2 linked regions of the Macaca fascicularis genome follow. The protein of the gene in region 1 binds, or shares a complex with, the protein of each later gene. Links are inferred from orthologs where the notes say so. Each region holds a gene or a part of one and is shown in the gene's direction. Other genes may lie near its edges.

Evidence for each region.
Region 2: SPAG5 (region 1) and KNSTRN share a complex: the UniProt entries of both Homo sapiens proteins name them as parts of the astrin (SPAG5)-kinastrin (SKAP) complex. The link is inferred for Macaca fascicularis from reciprocal best matches to the Homo sapiens genes SPAG5 and KNSTRN.

What each region holds. Positions count from the first base shown.
Region 1 is NC_088390.1:34,048,926-34,053,932, reverse strand, and holds part of SPAG5 (sperm-associated antigen 5), read left to right. Parts: coding exon 1-5; intron 6-96; coding exon 97-231; intron 232-443; coding exon 444-563; intron 564-669; coding exon 670-762; intron 763-865; coding exon 866-979; intron 980-1,629; coding exon 1,630-1,723; intron 1,724-1,894; coding exon 1,895-2,042; intron 2,043-2,122; coding exon 2,123-2,225; intron 2,226-2,388; coding exon 2,389-2,522; intron 2,523-2,727; coding exon 2,728-2,866; intron 2,867-4,088; exon of another isoform or gene 4,089-4,248; intron 4,249-5,007. UniProt on the Homo sapiens protein: Essential component of the mitotic spindle required for normal chromosome segregation and progression into anaphase. Required for chromosome alignment, normal timing of sister chromatid segregation, and maintenance of spindle pole architecture.
Region 2 is NC_088381.1:16,885,508-16,890,514, forward strand, and holds part of KNSTRN (small kinetochore-associated protein), read left to right. Parts: intron 1-754; coding exon 755-860; intron 861-1,089; coding exon 1,090-1,183; intron 1,184-1,875; coding exon of another isoform or gene 1,876-1,919; exon of another isoform or gene 1,920-1,990; intron 1,991-2,708; coding exon 2,709-2,770; intron 2,771-3,490; coding exon 3,491-3,565; intron 3,566-5,007. UniProt on the Homo sapiens protein: Essential component of the mitotic spindle required for faithful chromosome segregation and progression into anaphase.

The sequences.
Region 1 (5,007 bases):
AGGAGGTAAGCAGCATGAAGATGGAGGTAGAGGCCTGTGGTGGGACTAAAAGCCATAAAGAAGAACCAGACACATCAATTGATTCTTATTGTATAGTCTCGGCATACAGAAATCTTGGTCTCTTGCTGTTTTGATTTACTGAAGAAATTGAGGGCAAAGCTCCAGAGCCTCAAAGCAGAAAGGGAGGAGGCAAGGCACAGAGAGGAAATGGCTCTCAGAGGCAAGGATGTGGTAAGGTGCCAGGCATTTGTTCTTGTATGTGGGAGGTTTCCACCTCAGGGTTCCTGTAGGAACACAAATGCACTTTAGACACAGATGGGTGGCCTAAGAACTGCCTGCCCTGGGGAGTAAAGAACTGATCTATTGAGGTGTCAGATGGTTACAGCTTTTTGTGCTGGCTCCCCTGTTGCCCACTGTGTCCTTGCAACCTCTTCCCTCAATAGGCAGAGACAGTGCTGGAGGCTTTCTGTGCACATGCCAGCCAGCGCATCAGCCAGCTGGAACAAGACCTAGCATCCATGCAGGAATTCAGAGGCCTTCTGAAGGACACCCAGACCCAACTGGTAATTTAAGGGCATTTTCTTTCCTGGGGTCTGTGCTGACAGACTGGGAGGGTGGACCTGTATCCAAAGGGAAGGGGCTCCCTCCTAGGCAATCTTTCTTTTGTAGGTAGGGCTTCATACCGAGCAAGAAGAGCTGGTTCAGCAGACAGTGAGTCTTACTTCTACCTTGCGACAGGACTGGAGGTCCATGCAACTGGATGTGAGTATTTGGGGCCATCATAATTAATTCCTTACTCACATCAAGTCCTGTTAGGAGCTTTGCCTCAAGTGTGCTCTACTGACCTGCTTGCTTCCTCTGGTAGTATACAACATGGACAGCTTTGCTGAGTCGGTCTCGACAACTCACAGAGAAACTCACAGTCAAGAGCCGGCAGGCCCTGCAGGAACGTGATGCAGCAATTGAGGAAAAGCAGGAGGTACAGACCAGGAGTGGGGACTGCTTAGGCTTGGTTTCCTTTCTAATGTGTGATATCATTAGCCTCTTACCCTGGATCTGTTTTCTTTTCACCCTGTGGGTTTGGAGGCCAGCCAGGTCCCTTAGCTGTAAGATGGCCTTAAGCCCAGTTTTTTCGTTTGCCCTTCAGCATCTTTTTTTTTTTTGAGACGGAGTCTCGCTCTGTCGCCCAGGCTGGAGTGCAGTGGCGCGATCTCGGCTCACTGCAAGCTCCGCCTCCCGGGTTCATGCCATTCTCCTGCCTCAGCCTCCTGAGTAGCTGGGACTACAGGCGCCCACAACCGCGCCCGGCTAATTTTTTGTATTTTTAGTAGAGACGGGGTTTCACCATGGTCTCGATCTCCTGACCTTGTGATCCGCCCGCCTCGGCCTCCCAAAGTGCTGGGATTACAGGCGTGAGCCACCGCGCCCGGCCTTCTGCCCTTCAGCATCTTTACTTTAGCAACTTTTCTCCTGTCTCTACTTTTTCCTGAGGATCAACCTTATTTTCTGCAATGTTGATGCCCAGGAGCAAGGTAGTTTTCTGTCTTGTTCAGAAAGAGAAGCTGGACCAAGTCCTGGGATTATTGATTCAGGAGGAACTACAGGAGGAAAACCATCTTTTCTTCCTAGGTTTCCAGGGAGCTGGAACAAGTTTCTGCCCAGTTAGAGGAGTGCAAAGGCCAAATAGAACAACTGGAGTTGGAAAACAGTCGTCTAGCAACAGGTGTGTGTGTGTGTGTGTGTGTATGCACGCATGTAAGCAGTTGAGCCCTGTTAAGGCTTGGAGTGTGGCACTAGAGCAAGGAAGTACTCAGGAGCACTTTCTTTGGAGCAGAGGTTTGGGCAGTTTCTGGCCTGGTAACTGCATAGTGTCATTAGGATACTTTTGTTCTAGATCTCCGGGCTCAGTTGCAGATTCTGGCCAACTTGGACAACCAGCTAAAAGAGCTACAGAGTCAGCATGCCCATTGTGCCCAGGACCTGGCTGTGAAGGATGAGTTACTCTGCCAACTTATCCAGAGCAATGAGGAGCAGGCTGCTCAGTGAGTTCCTAACAGGGTATTGTGGCAGTAGGCATCCAGGAATTAGGACCAAATGGGATCTAATATATGGTCTCTGACAGATGGCAAAAGGAAGAGATGGCACTAAAACACATGCAGGCAGAACTGCAGCAGCAACAAGCTGTCCTGGCCAAAGAGGTGCGGGACCTGAAAGAGACCTTGGAGGTAAGGAATATGGCTTGGGCCAAGGGAGCTGGTAAACCTCAAGAGTGTGATTCTTGCCTGATAATGTTGAGGTAAGGTTTGAGACCATGAACTAGAAAAAGCCTCTGTCCCTAGGGCACTAAAATTCTCCCTCCCTGTCTTGCTGCTTCTCTTGTCTTCCCAGTTTGCAGACCAGGAGAATCAGGTTGCTCACCTGGAACTGAGTCAGGTTGAGTGTCAACTGAAAACCACACTGGAAGTGCTCCGGGAGCGCAGCTTGCAGTGTGAGAACCTCAAGGACACTGTAGAGAACCTAACGTAAGTTGTCTAACTCTCTGTACTTCCCCCCAAGTGCTTATTTTTTTTTGTCAGGAACACTTCTAGAAGCCAAAATCTCAAAGAAGAGAACTGTGAGTGTTGAGCCTCTCGTTTCTCTCCTTTAATGCAGCTCTGTGGGGATTTGGGAGAGGCGTTCAGAGAAGGTAATTTGGTCTTTGGTCATCTTCCTTGTTCCTTATTTCAGGGCTAAACTGGCCAGCACCATAGTAGATAACCAGGAGCAAGACCTGGAGAAAACACGGCAGTACTCTCAAAAGCTAGGGGTGCTGACTGAGCAACTACAGAGGCTGACTCTCTTCCTACAGACAAAACTAAAGGAGAAGGTAGGATCCCGGGGTTCCTTCTCTTCTCTTCCAATTGTATCTTTATTTTACAGAATAGTCTTCGTAAAACATTACTCTTTTTCTAACTGTGACCTTATATGACTTTCAGTTACCTACAGGACCTCATTAGCCTGTTGCTTAAACCTTTTTTCCCCTGTCTTCTACCTCCCTATTATGAACACTTTGCCCCAGCTAGACTGCCTGTATGCTACACATATGTCCCCATTTTTATCTCCAGAACCCAGACTCTGGCTGTTCCCACATTCATTCTCTTCTTTCTTCAAACTGGAAATGCCTATTCTATTAAAATCCTCCCTTCCAACCTGGGCAACATGGTGAAAACCATCTCTACAAAAAATACAGAAATTAGCCCAGGTGTAGTGTTGTGCACCTGTAGTCCCAGCTATCCAGGAGGCTGAGGTGGGAGGATCACCTGAGCCTGGGAAGTTGAGGCTTGCAGTGAGCCATGATCATACCTGGTTAATTTTTTGTATCACTGCACTCCAAACTGGGTGAGAGTGAAACCCTTTCCCCCCCAAAAAAAGAAATCTTCCCTGGTTCACCTTCTTTGAAATGTTCCCAAATCAAATCATGTGGACCTGGCGATCTTTTCTTCTGCCATATTTCTCATGAACTTACTCTCCTTTTGTATTTGCATTAATTTTCCTTGGATACCTGGTCTCTTCAATCAGACTATGTTTCAAGAAAGCAGAAATACAGCCTTCTTTGGCCTCCCCGCAGTGTGCACTAAACAATAAGTGGTTGATATCATTTAGAATACACAGGTAATTAGCTTATTCAGCAGAATATTCAGCTTATTCAGACACAACAAATATCCTAAAATCTGGCAATTGCTTATGACCTGATCCTCTTTCCCAACTGGGTGCCGAGCACAGGAAATGCCAACAAATCTACAGTTTAGCATGGAAGACAACCAGATGTAAACTTGTCATTTTGACTTATGATCATGGTAGAGGTCTGCATGGACCACTGTGAGAGATAGAGAGGGGAGGACCACTTCAACCTTCTAGAATTAGGATCCCTTCTCAAAGCAGCTGACCTTGGGTACAGTCTTGAGATTTAGAAGTTTGTGGGGTAGGGGTGGGTATTTAGGAAGGCCCACTAGGCAGAGGGAATGGTGTATGAAAGTTTCATCTGACGACATATGAGAGTCATATGTAGAAAGTCATGCGCATTGTACATGATGTGTTCTTTTTTGTAGTGTCTACCTTATAAAACCTGGGTTAGGTGCTGGGACTAGAGGATGAACAAGGCAAGATGCCGCTCATATGGAATGCAGCGAGTCTGAGGAATGGGAAGCAGCTCTTCATGGCTGCAGCGTGAGAGCTACGTGGGGCAAGGCAGGAGACAACACTGGAGAGGTAGCCAGAAGGCAGATTTTGAAGGCTTGAAATAATGGCAGTTTTATAGGCGGTAGAAAGGAAAGGATGGAGTGAATGGATTCAATAGATATTTAGAAAGCAGACGCAGTAGAACCTGGTGACCAATTTGATGTAAGAGGCAGAAGAGTGAATGATGATCCTTAGATTGCTAGGAAAGAGGGCCCAGTGGGTTAGCTGTGTTAGTGTGTGGAGACGGGTTAGTGACACCTCCGGATCATCTCCATGCTCAGGGAGCACTTCACCTATGTGTCGGGAGGAATAGCAATAGGAAGCACTTCATTTCCCCACAACTCAGACACCCAGACGGGAGGGCAGAGGACCAAGGCTGAAAGGAGTGGAGAGCCTGAGAGAGATGAGACTGAGGGGAGGTAATGGTGACGCAGGCTAACCAGTTGGTGGGAGAGACCTAGACCCGGGGGGCAGAGAAGGCGGGAGAACTGGAGAGAGGACCTAGCCTAGGAGGAGAGGGAGCAGGCTGAGCAGGAAATGCTCTGGGTAGGAGATGCAGACTCCAAGGAAATATCCAAAAGAAGAGGAGGATTTGGGATTGGAAAAGCTGAGGTTCAGGTGGGAGAGCTGAGGAGGGATAGAACAGGAAAGGTTGAGCCATGGGGTTTCAAGTATGCGGAAAGGAGCGAAGATGTTAGGAAAGGGTCGAAAGGGCACATCCTGGAGTCCCAGGTAGCAGGACGAGGATGGCAGGGGAAGAGCCAAGGAGACAAAGCAGAGATGCTGAGC
Region 2 (5,007 bases), on another chromosome or scaffold:
AGGCTGAGGTAGGAGAATGGCGTCAACCCGGGAGGCGGAGTTTGCAGTGAGCCCAGATAGCGCCACTGCACTCCAGCCTGGGCGACAGAGCGAGACTCCATCTCAAAAAAAAAAAAAAAAGAAAAAAGAAAAAACTCTAATATTGGTGATATTAGAGTTTATTAGATGATAAACATTATATTATTTTATTACATATCAGCCCAGCTACTGGGCTAAGAAATGCACATGGGTTTTCTCTCTTATTAATAATAATACTATGAGATGTAGGTATTGTCCTAATTGCCAAAATGAGGAAACAGGGCTTCAGGGAGCTTATGCAACTCACTGAAGGTCATAACCACTATGTAAATAGCCAGGATAGGAACAGGACGTGTTTGTGTAACTCTGTAGGCCATTTTTTTTTTTTTTTTTTTTTTTGAGACGGAGTTTTGCTCTTGTTGCCCAGGCTGGAGTGCAATGGTGCAATCTCAGCTCACACAGCCTCCACCTCCTAGGTTCAAGCGATTCTCTTGCCTCAACCTCCCAAATAACTGGGATTACAGGCATGCGCCACCACGCCCAGCTAATTTTTGTATTTGTAGTAGAGACAGGGTTTCTCCATGTTGGTCAGGCTGGTCTTGAACTCTTGACCTCAGGTGATCTGCCCACCTCAGCCTCCCAAAGTGCTGGGATTACAGGCGTGAGCTACTGCGCCTGGTGTAGGCCATGCTCTTAACCCTTTTGTCTTTTCATGTAAGTACAACTGTTATTACAGCTACAAACCACTGAGTAAGCAAAAATCAGAGGACGAGCTCAAGGACAAGAACCAGCTCTTAGAAGCCGTCAACAAGCAGTTGCACCAGAAGTTGACTGAAACTCAGGTAAGAGACCCACCAGAGCTCTGTTACCAGCTGCCACTGGGCAATGCACATGGAATCCTGATGGATGGCCCCTTGGGTGAGCAAGCTTGTTAATGCACAAATGCCCAAGGGCAGAAAAAAAAAAACAAAACAGGCTTTTGCTATGGCTGTCCAAGAGCAAGGGCAAGAAAGGGCGACCACCCCTAGGGATTGGGACAGTTCCTGATCTGTCTGTGCGGTGCTCCAACAGGGAGAGCTGAAGGACCTGACCCAAAAGGTAGAGCTGCTGGAGAAGTTTCGGGACAACTGTTTGGCAATTTTGGAGAGCAAGGGCCTTGATCCAGGTAAGAGATAGCACACAGCTAGCTGTCTTTGAAGGGATCAGTGCATGTGTCCCTTCCTGGGTTGATCTTGGCAGCATGGCATCAGCTGGCCCAGTAAGTGCAGGGGTTACTTCAGTAAAGCCCTAAAGATTTTGGAGGGCTTCTGTTTGTTTTCATGTGATGTTGATTTTTGCCTGGCCAATAGAATTTCAGAGGATTATATAGAGAGAAGGTTATCTCTTTCTTACCTGAACACTTTATGCCAACAGGTATGACCTTGCAAGTAGATGAGAAATATTTTGTTCCTTTCAAGGGAGAATATTTTCTGTCTCTTCCCATTTGGGAAAGTTACTAGTGTGCTTGAAAGGAACATTTTGTTTGAACATGTTCTTCCTCGCAAGCATACTAGTAACTTCTCAAATGGGAAGAGACAGAAAATACTACTTCAAGCATTCTTAAACCTGGCTAATCAGTAGAATTACAGTGACTAAAAAATGACTACTGTTACCCTGTCCCCCAGAGAGCAGAATCTGTAGCAAAGAGAGCAGTAGAAAGAATTGTCCAAAGACTGTAAGAGGGCCTCAGCCTGAGTCAAAGAGCTAGAGAATGCCCAGGAAATGGGCCCAGGCCTTTTTGTATTAAGGAATACTGACTTTGAATGTTACTGGTTAATCTTTAGGTTACAGGTGAGGATATTCTTTTTTTTTTTTGAGATGGAGTCTCACTCCGTTGCCCAGGCTGGAGTGCAGTGGCGTGATCTCAGCTCACTGAAACCTCCTCCTCCTGAGTTCAAGTGATTCTTGTGCCTTAGCCTCGTGAGTAACTGGGATTACAGGCATGTACCACTATACACAACTAATTTTTGTATTTTTAGTAGAGACAGGGTTTCGCCATGTTGGCCAGGCTGTTCTCAAACTCCTGACCTCAAGTGATCTGCCTGCCTCAGCCTCCCAGAGTACTGGGATTACAGACATGAGTCACCATGCCCGACCTGGGATATTCTTTATAGTCACTGTAAAATACATATTTTTAAATTTAAAATTTTTTTTTTGAGATGGGATCTCGCTATGTTGCCCAGGCTGGCCTCCAACTCCTGGGCTCAAGCAATCCTGAGTAGCTGGGACTACAGGTATGCGTCACCACAACTGACACCATAAATATTTTGTATGATTTTAATTTATTACATGCATGTGATATTACCAAAAGTAATAATTTTTAAGGCCTGAAAGGCTCTTAAATTGTGAACAAAACCAAAAAATCCAACCTATACATTTCCTTTGGACAAATTGTCCACTGACCTAAGGAGAAAGTATACAGAATTTTTGGCCATATCCAAACCTAGATTGAAAGGAGATAAAATGCAGTTCTGCAGGGCAGATGTGGGTGACCCTGCCAAGGTGAAAACTTGGGAGAAAGTCCAGGATTAGACACTTAAGAGAAATTCCCCTCATGAATATTTCTGTACTTGTTCATGGAGGGTTTTTATTTTTTTTTGGTTTAAAGTGTGTAGTTCCCTAAGTGAAGTTGACTTTGTTGTATCCGTCAGCTTTAGGCAGTGAGACCCTGGCATCACGACAAGAATCTACTACCGATCACATGGACTCTATGGTGAGGGAATGGGTGCGAAAGGGCACAAGGGCTGAGTGACTGTGGGGCTCTGTAAATCTAAGAAGGTCTCTGCTATATGTTCCATAAACCCCAAGAAACAACCTTTGATTATCTGCGATGGTAGAAAAGAGAAATGGAACATGCACTCAAAATAGCATATTTTACTTGAAAGGTAGCTTTGTGCTTACAAATATAGGTAAGTCTGAATTGAAAATTTAAAACACGTGGGGCCTGGCGCGGTGGCTCACGCCTGTAATCCCAGCACTTTGGGAGGCTGAGGCGGGTGGATCACGAGGTCAGGAGATCGAGACCATCCTGGCTAACACAGTGAAACCCCGTCTCTGCTAAAAAACACAAAAAACTAGCCGGGCAAGGTGGCGGGCGCCTGTAGTCCCAGCTACTTGGGAGGCTGAGGCAGGAGAATGGTGTCAACCCAGGAGGCAGAGCTTGCAGTGAGCTGAGATCTGGCCACTGCACTCCAGCCTGGGCGACAGAGCGAGACTCTGTCTCAAAAAAAAAGAAAAAAAAAAAAGAAAAAAGAAAATTTAAAACACGTGATAGGTAAACCTGTAGAGAGAGCTTTCTGGTTCCTCTGTTCTATACTGTATCAAATTTCCTGACTCCTTTGTTGAGAACTGTGTGGAAGGGATGTTAGCCATCATCTAATGCAGGTCTGGTTTTATATGAAGATTTGTTTACTACATTGTACTTTCCTCTTAGTTGCTGTTAGAAACTTTGCAAGAGGAGCTGAAGCTTTTTAATGAAACAGCCAAAAAGCAGATGGAGGAGTTACAGGTGAGAGGCAGACATCACCCTGACCATTTTCTACCACGATAGGTAGATTTCTTTCCTGTTTTTCTTTTTATTTTTAATAAACTTGCTAAATAATTTTAGATTTATAGGAAAGTTACAAAGATAATACAGAAAATTTACCCTGATACTTTTTTTTTTTTTTTAAATTTCCAACTTTTAAGTTCAGGGGTACATGGACAGGGTGTGCAGGTTTGTTACAAGGTAAACATGTGCCATGGTGGTTTACTACACAGATCATCCCATCACCTAGGTATTGAGCCCAGCATCTATTAGCTATTCTTCTTGATGCACTCCCTCCCCCAACCCCCAACAGTAACATCTTACATTATCCTGGTACATTTGTCAAAACTAAGAAATCAGCCAGGCATGGTGGCTCATGCCTGTAATCCCAGCACTTTGGGAGGCTGAGGTCGAAGGATTACTTGAAGCCAGGAGTTTGAGACCAGCCTGGGAAACATAGCAAGATCCCATCTCTGCAAAATAAAATTTAGAAAATAGCCAGGTGTGGTGGAAGGCAGAGGTTGCAGTGAGTCGAGATGGTGCCATTGCACTCCAGCCTGGGCAACACAGCAAGACTCCGTCTCAAAAAAAAAAAAAGTATGAATAAACTAAGTTCATACCAATAATGCCTATCTTGCTGGGTGGTTATAAAAGAGAATTATGTCTAGTACCTAACCCAGTGCCTAGCAAAGGTACTCACAGTATATACTTTTTTTGAGAGAGAGAGAGATGGTGCATACCTGTAGTCCCAGCTGCTCAGGAGGCTGAGGCGAGAAGACCACTTGGGCCCAGGAGGGCAAGGCTGCAGTGAGCTGTGATCATGCCACTGCACTCCGGCCTGGGTGACAGTGAGACTATGTCTCTAAAAATATAATTTTTTTTTTTTTTTGAGATAAAGCCTCGCTCTTACCCCCAGGCTGGAGTGCAGTGGCATGATAATCGGCTCACTGCAACCTCCACCTCCCGGACTCAAGAGATTCTCTTGCCTCAGCCTCCCGAGTAGCTGGGATTACAGGCGTTTGTGACCACGCCCGGCTAATTTTTATATTTTTAGTAGAGACAGGGTTTCACCGTGTTGGCCAGGCTGGTCTCGAACTCCTGACCTCAGGTGATCCACCCGCCTTGGCCTCCCAAAGTGCTGGGATTACAGGTGTGAGCCACTGCGCCCGGCAGGAAAAAATTGTTTTAAAAAAAGAGACCAACATCAGTACATTACTATTAACTATATTCCAAGTCTTCATTTGGATTTTTTAGCAGTTTTTTCCACCAATTTTTTTTTCTTTCTGTTAGCGAGGCCTCTTAGAAATGTTCACATTGCCAAGGCATGAGGCAATGTGTAACACAGTAGGTTGCTCAGAGTTGGGAATTGGGAACTGTATGTAATCCTTTCTATGGAAACTTGATGACTTGAGGAGGAGACCTGT